Schizosaccharomyces pombe: one gene and its partner. The gene in region 2 interacts genetically with the main gene of each other region. Each region holds a gene or a part of one and is shown on either strand. Other genes may lie near its edges.

Evidence for each region. Genes that interact genetically often act in the same process or in processes that back each other up.
Region 1: of srp2 (region 2) and cwf16, changing one suppresses a phenotype caused by changing the other (phenotypic suppression), as found in Schizosaccharomyces pombe (one study listed by BioGRID).

Annotation. Positions count from the first base shown.
Region 1 is NC_003424.3:1,487,396-1,492,359, forward strand, and holds cwf16 (splicing factor), read right to left. Parts: upstream 2,361-4,964; 5' UTR 2,188-2,360; coding exon 1,375-2,187; 3' UTR 1,215-1,374; downstream 1-1,214. Other genes in the region: F1-ATPase chaperone Atp12, read right to left, coding at 1-660; gpp74 (golgi phosphoprotein 3), read right to left, coding at 3,346-4,359.
Region 2 is NC_003424.3:4,423,552-4,429,310, forward strand, and holds srp2 (guard protein for 5'-capping of pre-mRNAs Srp2/Npl3), read right to left. Parts: upstream 3,442-5,759; 5' UTR 3,415-3,441; coding exon 3,372-3,414; exon of another isoform or gene 3,328-3,371; coding exon 3,242-3,327; exon of another isoform or gene 3,186-3,241; coding exon 3,149-3,185; exon of another isoform or gene 3,109-3,148; coding exon 3,103-3,108; exon of another isoform or gene 3,051-3,102; coding exon 3,026-3,050; exon of another isoform or gene 2,977-3,025; coding exon 2,908-2,976; exon of another isoform or gene 2,718-2,907; coding exon 2,648-2,717; exon of another isoform or gene 2,560-2,647; coding exon 2,486-2,559; exon of another isoform or gene 2,442-2,485; coding exon 2,342-2,441; exon of another isoform or gene 2,287-2,341; coding exon 1,699-2,286; 3' UTR 1,097-1,698; downstream 1-1,096. Other genes in the region: Rho family GTPase Rho2, read left to right, coding at 1-6, 75-93, 142-234, 279-413, 461-625; dihydroorotase Ura2, read right to left, coding at 4,164-5,060, 5,138-5,254. UniProt on the Schizosaccharomyces pombe protein: Has a role in pre-mRNA splicing where it is involved in spliceosome assembly.

The DNA.
Region 1 (4,964 bases), 2.9 Mb from region 2:
GAAGCTCTTGCAGCAACTAACAGATCTTTCAAAAGCTGCTAGTTGCCAAGAGTTCAGCGAGCTGAGCCAGTTTCTTATGCGTTCGTGTGTTTCCTGCGTTTGTTTATGGGCAATAATACCAGCATCACCATCCAAATAGCTTAATTGCACACCAAGTTTGTTTTCAAAGGTTTCTTTCAGTGGCCACCAATTTTCCTTTTGCTCCTCCAACAATTTCCCTTCATATTCTGTTTCGGGGGAGTAAATTAGAATTGTGTCGGTGTCAAGGAAACGAATTAATTGAGTAGAAAGTAGTTCCTTTTCTTCTTTTTTGAATTGTGATATGTCAATAGCTCTCGAAACTAGGGAAGTAATTGGGAGATTGTGTTGTCGAACAGAGGTTGATGGTAATCGATCCCATTCTAGGGCAATCAAGTGTGCTAGTAACTCCATTTCTTTAGGTACCTTAACAATCTTCCCAGAAGGTGATTTTAAATTTCGTCCATCTAATTGAATCAAGACTTCTCCATTTTGGATTTTGGTAGCTGTATTCTTCCAAAATCTCCTGAATGATGGTTGCGGCAAAGGAGAGGAAGCTTTTGTAGAGTAAAACGAATAGCACGTTTTAAATGACAGCAAGTTTTTGCTGGATAATCTGTAAAATTGTAAAGATCGAAGCATCTTACAAAAATAGAAAAAAAAGGGTATTCAAGGTGTCTATCTGAGACACTAAAAAATCTTTCGTACTTCAAACTGCCAAAATTTAATTTTTAATTATTGTTTAAGAGTTAATTATTATGATATACGTTTTTAGTTGGTGTTCTCCAAAATATTGGTTACTATGTAAGATGAGTCTAACAATATTTTGTCACAGGCATGATGAGAATAAGTTTTAATATTTTTTTCTAAAAGTAGTTTTTAATTAAGCAAGAAAAAACTCTTTTAAAATAAATTAATAGACGTTCCTATCATAGTTCCTAAACCGTTGTTTACGTTAGCCGCCTTGAATTTAGCTACGATTAAGACTACTTTTTGACAAACCGTAAATGTAAATTGATAAATTACAATTAGATACTCGGAAAATTAGAAGGAACCTTAAAAAAAATCAATTAACATGTGCTGTTAAAAACTTAAAGTTGAAGAATAGATACAAACAAAATAAAACCTTTCTATAAATGCTACGGTATTATTCTACATAACAAACTACATTTACTAATCGAATAATAAAAATTAGAACAGGATATTGACTATCAACTCGCGTTATGAAAATCCATCAAAAACTCATTAAATATTATTACAATAAAAACCTTGCGCTGGTACAAAAGAACATGTACATTTTTAATAGCTTAGCTATAAAAAATGCAAGTAATTAAAAAATTTAGCCATTTATAGACGTTATACCAAAACCTTTTTCTTCTCCATTTTCCTTTTTGCATATTTTGGAGGCTGAAAATTCGGTATATTGGAAGTGGCCAGCTTCTCAGAAACCAAATCTATAGGTTTGGGTAATTCTTTTTCAACCGTTGTTTCTGCATTCAATCTTCTTATAATTTCACCATCCTGAGACGAAAACAACGATTTAGCTTCACGATCAATTTCTTCTTCCTCAAATTTCCGCTTTTTGGACTCCTCTTCTTCAATTGATCCATATGCATCTTCCTTTAAGAGAGCGATTGCATCATCAATGTTAACTCGAGACCTTCGAGCGCTCTTTTCACGTAGTTCGTCGAGTGCATCACTAATTTGCATTTGTCGTTTAGTGTCTAATGTTTTTTGTTCTAATTTTTCCATTTCGTCCTCCTCAGGAATGTCATTGCGTTCAGCTAACTCATTTTCTTCATATTCTTGTAATCTTTTTTCATGCCACGGCTCATAATTCCTGGAAGCTCCACTCTCTGCTGCATAATCTGCATGTTTTGGATCGGTTATAAATGTTATTTCAGCAGCACACCTAGTGCAGCGAATATAAAACCTCAATATATCAATTGAAAAATATTTTTCGCCGGTTTTCTCCTTCCTAGCGTTAAACTTTTTTCCTTTATATATATACTCTCCACAAGTATGACAGCGCATTGAAAATGGAGTCATCAAACGAACAGTCAATTTCCCACCATTTGGTCCTTGAAACTTTTTCTTTTTCTTAGGAGGACGAATGGAAGGATCATAATCGGGCGGGATATACTTGTTAAGTACCTTTCGTTCAGACATTGTTGGAAACTATGAAAAAAAAATGAAATGAACGTACGAGAATTGCTTTACCAAATTCAAAAAAAAAGAATAAATTAAAGTAAGGAAAATTTAACCGTCCTTTTGGGTTGGAATTATTTGACTTTACAGATGAATTTGAAAATGCTAGTTTTATGTGGATATGCGCTTTTTGTAAGCGAATGGCAAAAGTACTAGTACTATCTGTAGTTCTTTGACACTCGATACGTCGCGGTAATAAATTGAATGCGCACATAGCACTACGTAAACATATTTAGTACCATCCTTATATTTCCTTATACAATACCTGAGCTGAGCTATCGAGACGTGAGCAAGCGTTGTTTGTCAATCTTACACCTTCCGGTGTTTTAAGAGTACTTTAGATTCCCTTATAAATTGTGTATTATTTAAATGCTTCTGATTAATTTTGACTGATCAGTCTCCATAGTACTTTACGCTTACAGCAATAGACAATTAATGGGGTTGTTGGCATTAATGGCAGGAATAGATGATTTATATGAACTTGGTTAAAAATCGCTGTATTTCAGCTTATGTTCGTCTTAGTAAAGTTGATAGCAATGATCATAAGAAAACACCTGCTATATTAATTTATCATATGTTCATTTAAGTAAAGCTTGTGGAAGAACCCAAGTTTAAAATGGTTTAAAAGATAACTGTATAGTAATTACACAATTGTCATTTTTCGTTAGTTTAATAACTAAAGCTTTGTGAAAAGAAAGACTGACTTATATGTACGTATGTAAATCATTAAAACGAGAAGAAAATAGCTAACGATGTCCGCAACTGAAAAGAATGAAAGCTGACCCGGGATATTCTGAACAAATCTTTTTTAGCAGACAATATCGAAATGGGATTGCCTCCATATCGAGATAAAGTGTTCAACTGGAGAGAGTATATGTGGAAATGGTACCACCAATTTAATGAAAATTCAACTAGATAATGAAGCACCGATTGTTCAAAGTACTATTCTTACAACAACGAACAATTTGATTGAATTGACTTCTTTTAAAATAATACTCCAATTAAAAACAAACAAATTAAGCCGACATTAGCGATATAGAAGTCGGTATACGTTTGTTCATTAGTCTGAGTTGGAAATAACATAACTCAAACAACACCAACGAGTGATATGCTTGGCTATCAAAGTAAAGAATCTAAATGAGTGAAAACTTGAAGAACAGCAGCGACTACCTCAATGAAAAGTAGTTGCTCTTCCTTCACAGAGGAAAGTTCTTCGGAAATTAGCTCAGGCAAGTTAGCGCCAACTGACGAAGAAGCATGAAGATCAAAAGGCCATTGCGAAAAGTCACAGAGAAGCTCGTCTACGCGAGAAAATGCTTTTTCACGATCTTCATAGTTTAAATTGTCAAGAGCGTTTTCAAGAACATTAGCAGCGTATGAGGAACAAGCAAGGGCAACAGTGCGAAGGCAACGAAAAGACAAATATTCTGGGAAAGAAGGTGAATTATCAATTTCAATTACTCGTGAAGTAAGAACAGAGACCACTCTTTTTTTAATGGAATCTTTAATGGAGGTATCGGCAATGGGATGAGTTGGCATGTCGAAAAGTAAGAAATTCTTCTTCTCATTTCTTAAAATCCCTTTGTCAACAAGGCCCTTTGCCAACCGTTCGCGTACTTGTCTTAATTGATATCCAATCTTCATCACATTCCACGTTTCACCACTCATCAAATCAATCCAAGAGGTTACAGACATGAGTTCGCTAGTATGTATCATTTTAATAGCTTCGTCTAAAAGAACCTCACCTGTAAGTTTTTCATCAACCAACTCCACTACACGATCCGCTAACGGAAAGCGTTTACGATTAACGTCTTTTTGCATACGCAACTTTCCACGAAATGCGAGCTCCATTAGAATACATCCCCGAAGAGAATAAGAAATGCTGTCATTCCAAAAAGAAAGATAACCTTGCTTGTCTTTTAGACCCAATAACAATACCTCCTCCATCAGTGTAAGCCTGGGTTGCTTTTCCCTTTCCGCGCCTTGTTCCAAATCCTTTGGATCAAAAGCGATTTTATGATCATCATCGTATCCCTCAAGATGACTTTTGGAATGAGAGACGCTCCTCATCTCTGGACGTTCTTCGTCCGAACTTGCGGCAGCAACCCTCCTTCGGGAAAGTCCACCTGACATTTCTTTGAATTTTATGCCTAAATACAAGAAATTTCTTGTTGTCTATATCAAATAATCAAGAAGATGAGAGAGATATGCAAAACGTTGAAAGCAAAAGTATGCAATACAGGAGTTTCGCTAAAGAAAGAAACGTTCAAACAAATGGGAAAACTTTTGATTAAAAATACCTTTTGCTTTTGTTTCCTCAGAACCTTGACGGCCAATTAATCCAACTTTTCGTTGGGATGCAAATTATTATAAATTGGTAGGTTGAACCAGAAGTACCCAACTAAATACCGAATTTTTTGAAGATACTGGGAATATTTCCACCAAAGAACTTTGGAAGACAACAAAGAATTAATAAATACTTGATATTTGAGGATTGTATGTTCGCGCAGTTCTGCCCGTAAGTGGTAGCAGAATTACGGTGGCTTAACAGATGCTCCCGTAACCTACAGCTTATAAATTGATCCTTAGCATACGGCAACCCAAAAATCGAGAATTTTGGACTTTACTTAAAAAATAAAAAGATACGAGAAGAATTCTTATTGTAAAAAAAATAAAAATATAAATTGAAACCCTCATTTTACTACAAGAAAAGAGACGGATACCTTTTTAAGAAAAGC
Region 2 (5,759 bases):
TACCGCGTAAGTACTTTTTTTTCTGATGTTAAAACTATATGTTATGTATTCCTGCATACTAATTCTTGTTTTAGAGGTCAAGAGGAATATGAGGTTTGTTTCGTTATTAATAGTGAGAAATACGTCGTTAACCCAATGCAGAGATTAAGACCAATGTCTTACGCTAAAGCACACATTATTTTGGTTGGGTTTGCGATAGACTCTCCTGATTCACTTGAAAATGTTTCTACGAAGGTTCGTTTCATTAATTGTTTTTTCCAGTCATTAACATTATATAGTGGATTGAGGAAATTAATACACTTTGCCCAAATGTTCCGTTTATTTTAGTGGGCATGAAAGCCGACTTAAGGTCAGATCCCGTTGCTATTGAAGAAATGCGACGTCGAAATCAAAATTTTGTAAAATCACAACAGGTATATATTAATAATTCAAACACGTGAATACTAATTCTTGATATCAGGCTGAATTAGTAGCTCAGCGGATTGGTGCGAGAAAGTATATGGAATGTTCTTCATTGACTGGTGACGGCGTGGACGATGTATTTGAAGCTGCTACTAGGGCAGCACTAACAGTTCGGGATTCGGAAAATGACAAGAGTTCTACAAAATGCTGCATCATTTCATAATTACTAATATCCTAACGATTGCAAACATTCATGTTTCAGTTTATAGGAAAGCCTATCAGTTTATGCGACCTACATTTACAAAAAGCTGATAGACTTTTTTGCTTTTCTTCGCATTTGTTCTTTGCCGTTGTTTCATTTCGTTTTCACTTTCACTTCTGTCGTTTACTTTTTTCTTTTTCTCCCCTATACCTCAAATTTAGTTCCTATTTTATTTTGAGACTCAGGAGTATTATTATTATTTTCATCATTATAATCTTCACGCATCGGTCGAACGACACTAGCCTCCTTTTTCATTTCATTAAGCAAACCGCATTCAGTTATTATTACCTTTTTTTTTTACTCTTAAACATCTTTCATTCTTTTTCAGCATCTATTGTCCTCATGAAAACTACTTTTTGTTTAAAAGATCATAGGACTTTATTTTTAGAACTGCCGCTTGCGCTCATTATGAAGTACAAAATTCATATATGTACATATGCTTTTGTTCTCTTAGGCTAATAGAAAATGTCAGTTTTCCTTATTGATACATTTAATACGTAGGCTCACTTCGCTAAGTAATTTTATGGGGCGGTCAAATTCAAAATTCTGGCTCATTTAAGCTAAATATTAAGACACCGCCAAAGGTATACAACCATATCAAAATTTATCACCTACTAAAGTTTCGAGCCTATTTTTTTCTGGGCATTAATGGGTTGGAAATCAAGACTGGCAAGAGTTAAAGTGGTCACTCTCATCAAACAACTATGTGAAATTATATACCCTTTAAACACCCATACTCCAACAACTAACTTTTCTTCGGGCGTTCACTTCATTAAGAACAACAACCAAAAAAAAACAACCAAAATCCATCCAAATGATAAAGAATGACAAATACGCGGCAAAAATCCGGAACTACACTAAAAATTACACATTCCTTTCATTCTTGATCGTAAGAAAGGAAATCGCCAATAAAGAGAGATAAATTCATACTCAAATACATCACAGACAAAGGATATTAAGACCACAGACATATGACAGGAAAATCTAGTAAGCAGACACTAAAAAATAGTTTACCAAAGGAAAAATTTCTATGTTTACCATTCAGCAGCGACCTGTCCTTCAGCGCTACCGTTACCTACATCAGAATGGTTTTGCAAAGGCTGTTGTTCTTCCGAAGCAGCAGGTTTGTCATATGATTCAGTGGGAGCAGATGACTCCATTGATGCTTCAGGAGCAGCTGAATAGGATTTGGAACCTTCATAGGCAGGGGAGCGATTCTCTTCTCTATCACGTCTAGGAGAAGGACTACGGCTATAAGCGTCACGTCGATACTCATCATCATGGGAAGGGCGTCCATCATCACGAGAACGACGGTATTCGTCTCGTCCAGGGCGATATTCATCACCTCTAGGACGACGATACTCATCATCATGAGGACGACGATAATCACTTCTGGAATTACGTCTATACTCATCGCGACCACCACGACGGTATTCATCACGATTATTACGCCTGTATTCACCACGAGGAGCATAACGACGTTCATCATCTCTGCCGGGACGATAAGCGTCACGACGGTAATCGCCTCCTCTACGATAATCATCACGATAACGACGGCGAGCAGGTGGAGAACGTGAACGGAAGCGGGAGGGTACTTCGGGAAGGGGCTCATTAGCGGCATCCTGCTAATCGTTAGAAAATTTACGCAAGGATCTTTAAAAAAGATTAGATGCTTACAGGGTCTTCGCGTAAAGTAACTGCTTGGCCTTTAATGACTTCACCATTAAGGCTCGTCAAAGCGTTTCTCATATCCTCTTCAGTAGAAAATTCAACAACACTGCATTAAAGTTAGGTGAAAAAATGATCAAAGTAGAAACTTACCCAGCACCAGGGTTTTCACGGTGAGCATCTGTGAAAGTGGGTTCACCAGCTTTACGCATTACATCCTTCAGGTCCTATGAAAAGTGTTAACACTGAAATATAGATATATGAAAAAAATCATGCATTGACGCAAAGGTCATTAAATGTATAAAATTGTCTTACCTGCCAACTGACATCTTCTGAGAGATTTTCCACAATCAAACGGAAACCGGTGCGACGGGGACGGGGGTATCTGATACGTTAGTATAAAAATATTGCCGTAATTTTTATAGGACAATGCGATTTTGCAAGCGATAACACCGTATATAGTCACTACTCAGAGCTGATTCACATGTGAAGTGAACAAAATCGTTAGAACCAGCAATCGCGTGCAATGCCAAATCGCCCACTAATCACATATTAATGGAAACGTAACAACGTACTTAGAAGCAGCACTTTCTCTAAAGTTCTCTCTTCTTCTTCTTTCACCGCGAGCAGGTTCTACAACAATACTTCGAACATTAGCATATTTTAATCTAAATTCATAATGTATTGACTTACCGGCTGCCCATAAACTCTTTGCCCTCTTTTTTATAAGATTAGTAAATAAAGTCGAATATTAAACCTTTGAAGCATACGAAAGTCTAAACTGTTAGCAAAAGTTTTAAGATGGTATGAACGTACCATTTACGATATCACGAGCATCGCGAGCGTCTTCAACCTACATCAAGTTAGTCACATAGGGATTACAAAAAGAAGGCTAATGGTTTTATTTACCTCAACAAAGCCAAATCCATTCATCAGCTTGCAATCAAGGATTTGACCGTAACCTTTAAAAAAATCCATCATATCCTCGCGAGTCGCTAAATTTTTGTTAAAATACTATTTACATTATTTAGTTACAAACCTTGAGGAGGAATACGGCCAACAAACAATCTAGTCTCCGACATTTTTTTTTGGTGTAGTTGGTTCTTGCTGGGTGAAGTTCGACCCTCAGTCGGCAGTCTTGAGGCTGAAGGCCGGCGAAACCCAAGTTACAAAATATAAGATAATGAAATAAAATATAAAATCAAATTAAAAGAGATGGTGTTAATCAAACCTTGTCTAACGATTTTATGCATTCATCGGTCCACACTTTTTCCTAATATTGTATAAATGAAATCTGAGTAACTATCAACCATACTTCAGAGTGTCTATTGAAATGATTAAGAAGGTTAGATAATAATTAATTAATGGATCAAGATGGCGATGATAATTTCATCGACGGGATACTGTAAGTTTAATTAATCATGATTAAGGAGCTAGGATATCTAGTAGTCAAGATGCAACTTCAAGAAGTAACTGTTGTCTTTACAGTCATGTACGTAGGTTCTTATACGTATAATTTTCTTTTTCTATATTAATTATAAATAACTATAAAGTATTTTAGTAAACTTCAATGAATAATCCGAATTTGAGATAATGAAAACAAGTTTCTGCTCATTCACCAGTTCTCTATCTGGATGAAAAACTTTACGAAAATTTTGGAATTCTGAAAAGACTCTTGCCAGATGACACGCAATGTTTGCATTCGCCGACGCATAATGATTAACCCAATTAACTTCAAATGTTATTTAAAAATTCGTAAATCCAAAACATAAAAGCCGACAAGTTCAAAAAAATAGATAGAAAAAAAAACACATAATCAACATGTACTGAATTACTCCCATGAACAGTGCCATTGAAGAACTTCGTTTGGATGAAAAGGAACCAAATCATTGGCAACACTTTCAGGTACGCGAAACGACTCCTTTTTTAAGACGATATTAGACTCTTTGAAGTCTAAAGGAATACAATAAAATTTCCTACCAAAAATACATGCAAAATCCTTCAAAGCATCTAAACGACCCTCTTTATCAAACACTTCAGCTAAGTACGAAGCAGCGAAAGGTTGGGTAAAAACACCAGCTGCCGGTGGCGTCTTCAGTTTAGAAGACCTAGGATGAGGTGCAGAATCACTCCCAAAGAAAAACTTGGGATTTTTACTGGTAGCAGCTTCAATAAGAGCACGTCGGTCTCGTTCGGTTTTGGCTACCGGCTTGCAGAAACAATAAGGATCATCCTGCCAATCTTTTTGTGTGAGATAAAGATGATGGGCAGTTATAGTACCCGCAACACTTTCACCGCATGCTTTTACTGCCTCAACAGCGTCGGCAGTGGTGCAATGTTCAAGCACAATCTTGAGTTTTGGAAATCTTTGGTGAAGGTCTAGTAAAGTAGGAAGAAACTTGGGCTCAGCCGTAAAAACGGTGTTATCCTTAGAGGGGGGAACTTCTCCGTGAATGTTCAGAATCATACCTGTTTCTTGCATTGCAGCAAAGGTAGGATAAAAGGGTTCGTAGCTTTCAACACCACTTTCAGAATTGGTAGTAGCTCCTTTCGGATATGATTTAACTCCTCGAATTCCCTTTTTTGCAGCTTCGTAAATAACCTCAGGTGTAGTTTCCGGTGAGAGATAAAGACTCATTAAATAGGTGGTCTTGGAGTCAAGCTGCTCAATTTCTTTTTTATATTGCAAACAGGCATCAACGGTAGTAATTGGGGGGATTAAATTAGGCTGTTATACGCGTTAAAAAGTTAAACCTTTGTAACCTTCAAATAAATTTTTTGAATAGCACAATACTTATTACATACCATTACATACGCAACAGAGACTCCACCCTCTGCGACCGTTGGAACTACAGCTTTTAACATATTATCTTGCCTTAGATGAACATGCATATCAGCCAAACCAGGTATTTTCAAACTCATCTTGTATAGGTAGTGGGTATTGTCAAGTTGAGTAACTAGAAAGGTGCACTTTATACTTAGTGCTAAATTAAACCAAGAATAAACAATCTTAACAATTGGTAAAAAAATACTACTTAAAATTAGTATGTTTCTTTCAATATAAATTAGTGAGGGTAATATAATTACTTCAAAAAAATTTACTATACCGATAATTCTCCAACTAATTTCAAAGATTTAATTGATCGGAGTTAAACCAAATATTATTTCTTAATTCTTTTTATTAAAGTTCAGATGCCTAATTCTAAACATAAGAATTCACCAACAGCTTAATTATTAGACCACCGTCCTGACTCTTCGGAAGCATAGAGCTACTTGCTTAATCATTGAAGCTCCATTATTAGATCTACCTTAGTATAAAAGAAATCCGAAACGTGTAACTACTAGCATTTCCTGTTTATGTGTAAATATACAGGTACATAATATGAAGAATTATGGTCATCAGTACAAAGCAGTTTAAATTTAACTT